Linked DNA regions of Oryctolagus cuniculus. The protein of the gene in region 2 interacts with the protein of the main gene of each other region in a pairwise test. Links are inferred from orthologs where the notes say so. Each region holds a gene or a part of one and is shown on either strand. Other genes may lie near its edges. The genes, in order: MAPK14 and SUPT20H.

Region 1 (4,328 bases), on a different chromosome or scaffold from region 2:
TGCCTGACTTCAGCCTAACCCAGCCCTGGTTGTTACAGCCATTTGAGGAGTGAACCAGGGAGAAGCTTTCTCTCTCTCTCTCTCCCTCTAACTCTGCCTTTCAAATACATAATTTTTTTTAAAAAAAATGGAAAATGGAGGGGGTGGCACTGTGGTGCAGTAGGTTAAATCTCCATATGGGTGCCAGTTTGAGTCCCGGCAGTTTGATTCTCGGCTGCTCCTCTTCCGATCCAGTTCTCTGTTGAGGCCTGGGAAAGCAGTAGAAAATGGCTCAATTTTTAAGCACCTGTACTCATGTGGGAGATCTAGAAGAAGCTCCTGGCTCCTGGCTTCAGATTGGCCCACCTCCAGCGGTTGTGACCATTTGGGGAGTGAACTGGCGGATTGAAGACCTATCTCTCCATCTCTCCCTTTCAACTGCCTGTAACTCTACCTCTCAAATAAATAAATAAAACCTTAAAAAGAATGAAAAATGGAGGTATATTAATGAGCCCATAAATTTTTTTTTCAAAGATTTTATTTGAGTGATAGAGTTACAGACAGAGAGAAGAGAGACATAGAGAAAGGTCTTTCATCTGCTGTAAAGGCCAGAGCTGGGCTGATTTGAAGCCAGGAGCCAGGAGTCTCCTCTGGATCTCCCACCTGGGTGCAGGGGCCCAAGGACTTGGGCCATCTTCCATTGCTTTCCCAGGCCACAGTAGAGAGCTGGATCAGAAGTGGAGCCACCAGGACTCAAGTCTGCGCACATGTGGGATAACAGCACCACAGCGCTGGCCACAGAGTCCTTAAATTTTAAAGGAGCAATTATCTAAATACACCTCTGAAAATTAGCAAATCAATAACTAGTATATATACTAACTAAAAAAGCTTCAAATTCCTTGAAAAGGTTAACTGCCACAGCGTAAAAGTGGGAGAAAGATGTCAGCCACGGTGACACCTGCAGCATTACTCAAGCGGCTTGAACTAGAAAATGCAATACGATCTGTTGCTGGACACAATTGCACAATCTCAATTACCCAGAAGATTCTACCAAACAGGAAATTCATGATGTGATTTTAAGAAACACGGGAATCATATTTAAAGATGAACAAATCCAAAAGCCTGGAATTTGTTCCGAACAAAACAAAACAAAAAAAGCATTTTCCTAGCTCCTTTTCCACCCATGCATGCCCAGGAATTGATAAAACAGGAAAAAGCTTACTATGAAGCCGGACACTTAGTTTCAGATCAGGAGCTCTCAAAAGATACTAAGTATAAAATACAGTGTCTAAGGCCTTGGAAGTTAGAGAAGTCAGTGAAATACTTCAGGTCTGGAAATGTCCTGGTGTCAACTTAAATACAGGCACCTTGTAAAGGACAGCTGGCCGGTGTCTAACTTTCTTCTCCTGGAAGTTCCCGATCCTAACGAAAACCAAGTGTATCTCAGGCCATAGCCACAGATAAGGTCTCTGCACACTCTCCAAGGGGCCTTAAAAATACACGATTCACAGGAATTATCTCAACTTTCAAATATTCACAGTAGCTCCCTGCACCGTGAGCGACTTTTGGGTTTCGAGGGCACGCGGCGGAGGGATCCGAGGCTCCCCTGCTCCCCGTGAGAACCCTGCTTCGTCAAACAATACTTTAAATGAGCAGTGGTATGTGACTAATCAGCCAGGCCGCCAGTTTCTCAAGCGGCAGCCACCACCGCCGCCCTCCACGGAAAGGAAACACGCTCTCGACCGAATCGGAAACACACCACTCAAGCTGGCACAGGGCTCGCCGAGATAAAGCCGATATTTTAAGCCCTATGGGTCGCTGCGAATTCAAAAAGAACGCTTCTCCAGACGGGATTTCCACAGAGGTTTGCAAAAAAGAAGGAAAGAAAGAAAAGCCTGGAGGGGGCTACCTTCGTCGTCAGTTTTGTTCAGACCACCCGATCTCCCAACCGGGTTCTGCTTTCTCCCGCAGCTCCCCGGGTCGTCCGCGCCCCCGGGACGGGTGCACCCCCGGGAGAGGGTCCTTCTGCAAAGTGTTCGTAGGGACCCCCCTCCCCAGCTCCCCGCAGAACAGCCGCCCCTCCCCCAGGGCCTGCCCCCCGGGGGGGAGCAGCGCTCAGCGAAACGAAAGCGCAGGGCGTGCGCCAGGAGCGAGCTCCAGCCAGCACCACCACCTACCGCCCACAGCGGACCTGCGCCTGCACGCAATGGACCACCGCCCTGGGCGTGCAGGCTGCGGGATGCAGGGGGTGCAGGGACAGCCATGCTCTCCCTCGGGGGAAATTCCTGCCGCTGGGCGCATAGCGGAGCCGCGGGGGCAGGCCTGGCCCTCGGGCACCAGGGGCCACCCTACCCACCGCGGCCCCGGGCCTAGCAACACTCACCACACGGAGCCATAGGCGCCAGAGCCCACCGGGGACAGATTCTGGTAACGCTCGGGCACCTCCCAGATTGTCTTGTTCAGCTCCTGCCGATAGAACGTGGGCCTCTCCTGAGACATTTTCCAGCGACGGCCGCGGGGCGAGGAGGTGGCCCTGAGGTGCCCCCGCCTGCACCCACGCCCGCTCCCCGGCCCTCGTCGCCCGCCCAGGCGGGCGGGGACCTCGCGCTGGCCGCCGCGCAGGTGCGGCTGCTGAGACCCCCGCAGACACCCGCGCGTGCGGCCCCTGTCAGCTGCAGCTGCTGGACGCGCCTCAGGGACCGAGGCGAGCCCGGCAAAGGGCAGGAGCGCGCTCCGAGGCTGAGGGCTGCGCCCGCCGGGGTCTCCCTGCACCCTCTCCCGGGCCGGGCCGACGGCGGGCCGTGCCGCTGGACTCCCGCTCCAGTTGCAGCGCCAGCTGAGGCTCCAGTGGTCGCAGTTCCAGAGCCAGCGAACAGGAGCCGCCTGCCGTCCTCTCGCGAGATCAGCTCCCGGGACTCTCCGCGAGCCGAGATTTTACCCAATATGGAACCTCCCCGCGGGAGGGGGTTCGGGAGGAGAGAGCGCCGGAGGAGCAGTTCTCGCGAGAAGAGAGCAACAGCTGGAGCCCAGAGGCAGGAACTCCCGGGGACTGTTCTTCGGGGCGCCGAGGCGGACGGCTAAGGCGGGGATGCTCGCGCACCACAGGCCGCGCGCGCCCCACTGTGGTTGGTGGGGCTGTAGTGCCTGACCACTGCGGAGAGCGACGGGGACGAGTAAGCGTGTCGGGAAAAGAGCCAACAGATCTTGGAACTGCGGCCGAGCACCTGCTCGGTGGAACTCCGCCGTTTCCAAGAAATACCGGCGTCAAAAACTGGTTCCAGTCAGAAGGCCGTCGCATTCCCGTGTGCTCATGGACAGATGGCTAACCCTCCGGGACGCTGACGAAATCGGCCCCAAAGACAAATATTAGCCCCGCTGGAAGCCGAGACTTTGCACCCGAACGGGTGCAAAGGTCGCCCCGGGACCCTCAGGGGCCTCTGCGGGGGTCGGGGCCGTACAGGTGGCTCTGATGTGTCTTAAAAGCCGTGGCCCCGAAGCTTATAAACCGACTTCGGCCCCAAGAGCAGTCCTGAGAAGAGGACTTGGAGATTTTAAGTGGGGGCTCTCCCAGGAAGGCGGAGGAGCAGGGAGTGCGCTTGTGGCAATGTCGCTTTTAGGCAAGCCGGTAGGCCCTGCTCAGTTGCAAGAGAACTCCGGTCCTCCGTTCCCACCTCATAGGGACAAGAAAATACCCGCGAGTGGGCAAGTGTTGTAACCCCAGGCCCATACCTACTGGTGCTGGCCCGGCCCGTGCTAACGCCTGCTACCCTGAGCGCAAGGATGGGAGTCTATCTTGTCCTCCGATCCTTTGAGGGCCACCCCAGGACAGGGGCCGAGGGCTCCCACGGCCGTGTTCTCCTTCCTCGCCCCCGCTCTCGTTGCCCGCCCGCCCCGAACGCCCGCGGGTTCGGCCGCAACGGCTCGGGAACCGCCGGCGTCCGGGTCGGCAGCGCTGCCAGCCAGGCCAGAGCCCTGGGAGACCCGAGCCGCCCGCCGCACTCCCGCCTCGGGCGGGGAAACAGGTGAGCTGCTGCCAGGGCCGCCCGGGAGGCGGGGCTGCAGGCAGAGAGTCGCGGGTCGCGGGCCGGGCTGGGTCCGCCGCCCGCAGCGGGGTCCCGCACGTCGCGGGCGCTCGCTCGGTCAATATTGGTAGAGTGAGTGGCTGACGACGGTGCCTGGAAGCTTATCTCCCGCCTCTGCTTTGAACGGCCGCGTGGAACGGCACCGGCAAGAGGCAGTTCGTGCCCTTTGCAAGCGGACTCCTTCCAGACGCCCTGGAGTTGGCTCGCCCGCCCCGTCGGTCTCGTCACTTTATGCTCCCTGACTGAACCCCTTCCCGATCCCTTGGC
Region 2 (3,810 bases):
TCCCAATTTTGGGGGAGTTGTAGGAAATACAGAAAAGCTTAAAATAGGGAAAAATTACAATAACATGTTTCATAATTATTATATTAATGTTATTTTGTGTATTTGTTTCATCCTTTTTTTTAGAAAATCTGTATTTCAAAAACTCTATGATTTATATATTGAAGAATGTGAAAAAGAGCCTGAGGTTAAGGTAAGTATAAATTTTCTATGGTATTAAAGCTTTGAAATGTTGAGGAGGGAAATTTGGAAGAGTTCCATTTGAAGTAGTTAATGATTTATGTTTGGAGAGGAAACTAACATCTTTTGCAACAAGACTATAGTCAGTCCTGCAGCTGACTCAGAACATCGGTTATTCTGGCCCTAGGCAGAGGTCAGCTGCTTAGCTAGGATGAGGGAACAGTCTTTACTAAGTAACACTATCTCACTGGGAGCTCATAAGTAAGGCGACTTTATGCCTTTCTCTTGTTTCTTCTCCATCTGAAGTGAACTGTAAACTTAGGAAGAAAGTAACCTACTTTATAGTGATTTGCACTGGAAAGTCAAAGCTATTACAGGAGGTATAGGAAATTCTAGTGTGATGAGAAAAGGTAGATTTGGTCACAAAATGAGTTCATGGTTAGTTATGTTTAACTTTTAATTCATTCCTATTTAACATAAATGTATGAACAGTAGAAATGTAATAGAAATTGATTTCTTGATAGCTTTTGAACTCTTTTTGGAAGGGCCTTAAAGGACTCGATGAATTTTTGTTGTCTTTAATTTTAAAATGTATACCATTTTACCATTTGGGCAGAAAACAGTGGAATTTCAATAGTGTGTCCACTTTAAAGTCTTTGAATTAGGAAAAGATGCTAAATTTACAAATAAGTTTTATGATATATATTCTGTAAGTTTTACTCAGATACACTTGACATAAAATAAATTGGACAAGTTTAAAGTGTGTACTTTTTAAGTTTTGACATGAATAAAGTGTATGCTTGTGAAGTCATCACCACACTCAACATAATGTACATTCTGTCACCTCAGAGACACAACTAAGATAGGAAAGATACGTTGCTCCCCCTCTTCCTGGAGGAACGACACAGGACCCTGCGCTGTTTTGTCTGCTCGGCCCTTCCCGGGTTTGCTGCTGGTTCTTCCCGGTTGGCTGCCGTCCCTCCACCTCCGTGGAGGGGCGGGCCCCCCTGCCACTTTCCCCACTTCTGCGGGGGAGTGGCACACCACCGGCCGGCTCTCTAGGGGGCTGCTCAGATGTTATCCGCATGTTCCCCTTAGATGTTCCTGGTGCATGTTGTCTCTCTCCTCCTTTATAGTCCTCTTCCACCAATCCCAACTCTGCTACCCACACGCCGAGTACGCTGCTCTCCTCCAATCAGGAGCAGGATCAGCTCCTGCAGGTTACTGGTCGAACTGGAGGCAGCTGGGTAAAAGTTGTTTACTCCTCTCCCAGCGCCATATTGTGAGAGAGCAGATGCATAGAATAAGTCTTAATTCCAGTAACTTAGTCTAGTCCGAGTTGCTCCCCACAAGATACATTTGTAATGATTCTAAAGTGAGGTTGACAAGCCCCTGTCTACCAATCAAACCTGGCCAACTGCATGTTTTTGTAAATGAATTTTTATTGGAACCTGCCACACAGGTTTGTCTAGGCATTTGAGGTACAAAGGTAGAGTTTGTGCAGTTGCAACACAGGCCACATGACCCACAAACCTAGACACTATCTGAAACTTTAAGAAATTTCCCAGACTCTGGTTTAAGTGAGATCATCTTAGTGGTAGCCAACATGTTTTCCTGAAGAGGTATACGTAACTGTCATAATTTTTCTAATTCTGTCATAAATTATGATGGTTTTGTCTATATTGAAAAAAGTGTTTAATTTCTCTTTGGTTTTGTTTTTTCTTCACATTAAAGTAGTTAAATGTTGTTTACCATTTTTGCCCTTTTCAAGTTGCATAGTGTTTGATTTTATGGTGATAGTCAAGAATTTATAATTCCTCTGTAATTCTTCTTTGCATATGGCTGTGTACATATGTGTGTGCGTATAAAATACTCAAAAACAGATGAAGTTTTTGGGGAGATTTTGCAAAAGTAATATTCTCTTGAACCAGGTGTCTTTTTTAAATAAGATTTGATTAAGTAAATTATTATATCTATTTCAGTGTGTTTTATTTTAAATGATGTACATTTCTAGCCATGGATTTTGATATATGTGTGATATGTTTCCTGATGGCTTTTTAAATGAAAACAAAGTAGCTTCTGAGGAGGTGTTGAATTGAATTCTTAGAAAATTGTCATAACTTCTTTCTCCCTCTTACCAATTAGATATTTTTTAGATTTAATGTTTTCTTGATTAGAGCTGTTGAACTTATTTGGATCTAATTTAGGTTATAAAATATTTAAGAAATGTGCATTTGTTACCATACAATCAAAATGAATGCTGCAAATTTATAAGAAATAGAAATTAATAATGCATCATCTGTGTTTTGTATATTTATATTTAATGGTTTTAATGTTTTATGTATTTATATTTTTCTTTTGTGGATCACCAGTTTTTCTTTCTGATGTGGATGAATGTATATAAAACTTAGTAGCTCAAAATTAAGTTTCCATGAGTGTCCCATCATGGTGGCTATTTTTGTATTATGTGAGAATGCAGAATGCCTCTTTTATAGATTTTTATTTTTTATTTTTGAGATTTTTAAATTTATATTATAGTCAAATGCTTACTGCTCCACTAAATATAGAGTCCAACAAATAAAAGGTAAAAAGCCCAGAGTTGAGCAGGAAAATAGGCAAGGGCTATAAACAGTAACCAAATGAAAAGATGTTGAACTTGATAGTGGCTATCTGCTTGCAAATAGTTCCCATATATTCAAGATCATAATGTGGAGGGAGCAGTAAAATATTCATGTAGGTTTTGTTCAATCATCATACTACTTTTTAAGATTCTACTGGATTATTTTCATGAGCTCTGCCTCTTTTTAAAGCAGAAAATAAGAAGAAATGTGAACTTGTTGGAAAAGCTCGTTATGCAAGAGACTTTGTCATGTTTAGTGGTCAATCTTTATCCAGGAAATGAGGGATATTCTCTGATGCTCAGGGGAAAAAATGGATCAGGTAAGACCCTCCAGAGCACAGCTGCCACAAAGGTTCTGCCCGTGGAGGAGGATGTGCTTTTTTTTAAATAGTTTCTTAACTTGCTAAATGGTTTATCCTTTAGATTAGGGATGACTTAGTAATAAATGTAGATTTAGATCTTAAATTTATCTCCTTGTATTTTTGGTAAGAAGATTAGAAAGTCTCTCAGCTGTGTATAGTTATCCTTCCAGAATATGCACTTGACAGTCAGGTTATAAAAGACATAATTTTTAAATGATTGCCAAAGTTTCGTTTTGTTCTGTTGCTGTTTGTGCTTTAAGATAGCCTAAGCTATTTGAAGGTATGCTCTTTCTTCTGCATTTTAAATATACTGAGTCTGAAACCTTCAAATGTAATCAGACTCACTGCCCTTTGAATAATTCTATTGTAAATATGAAAATAGTTTTAAAATGTAAATACTCTTAGATTTCACTAAAAAGCCATTTAATTTTCATATGTTGATAGTAATATGAGTCCTACAATGAGATGAGTTTACCTAGTTAAGAGTTTTTCTTGCATTGATTAATTGTGAAACATAACGCCAAGACAATTTTCAAATTATCAGTGATTTCCAGTTTAGATTGATCACTGGGTTTCCAGTTAATTTTGACAGTGGATATTTATCATATTCTGCTTATTGACTATGATTTGGGTTATGCCGTTACACTAGAT

What was found.
Region 1: the proteins of SUPT20H (region 2) and MAPK14 interact in binary tests that used the Homo sapiens proteins (3 or more experiments, as listed by UniProt). The link is inferred for Oryctolagus cuniculus from reciprocal best matches to the Homo sapiens genes SUPT20H and MAPK14.

What each region holds. Positions count from the first base shown.
Region 1 is NC_091436.1:133,478,932-133,483,259, forward strand, and holds the start of MAPK14 (mitogen-activated protein kinase 14), read right to left. Parts: upstream 2,842-4,328; 5' UTR 2,479-2,841; coding exon 2,363-2,478; intron 1,771-2,362; exon of another isoform or gene 1,636-1,770; intron 1-1,635. UniProt on the Homo sapiens protein: Serine/threonine kinase which acts as an essential component of the MAP kinase signal transduction pathway.
Region 2 is NC_091440.1:77,037,967-77,041,776, forward strand, and holds part of SUPT20H (transcription factor SPT20 homolog), read left to right. Parts: intron 1-123; coding exon 124-190; intron 191-2,987; coding exon 2,988-3,117; intron 3,118-3,810. UniProt on the Homo sapiens protein: Required for MAP kinase p38 (MAPK11, MAPK12, MAPK13 and/or MAPK14) activation during gastrulation.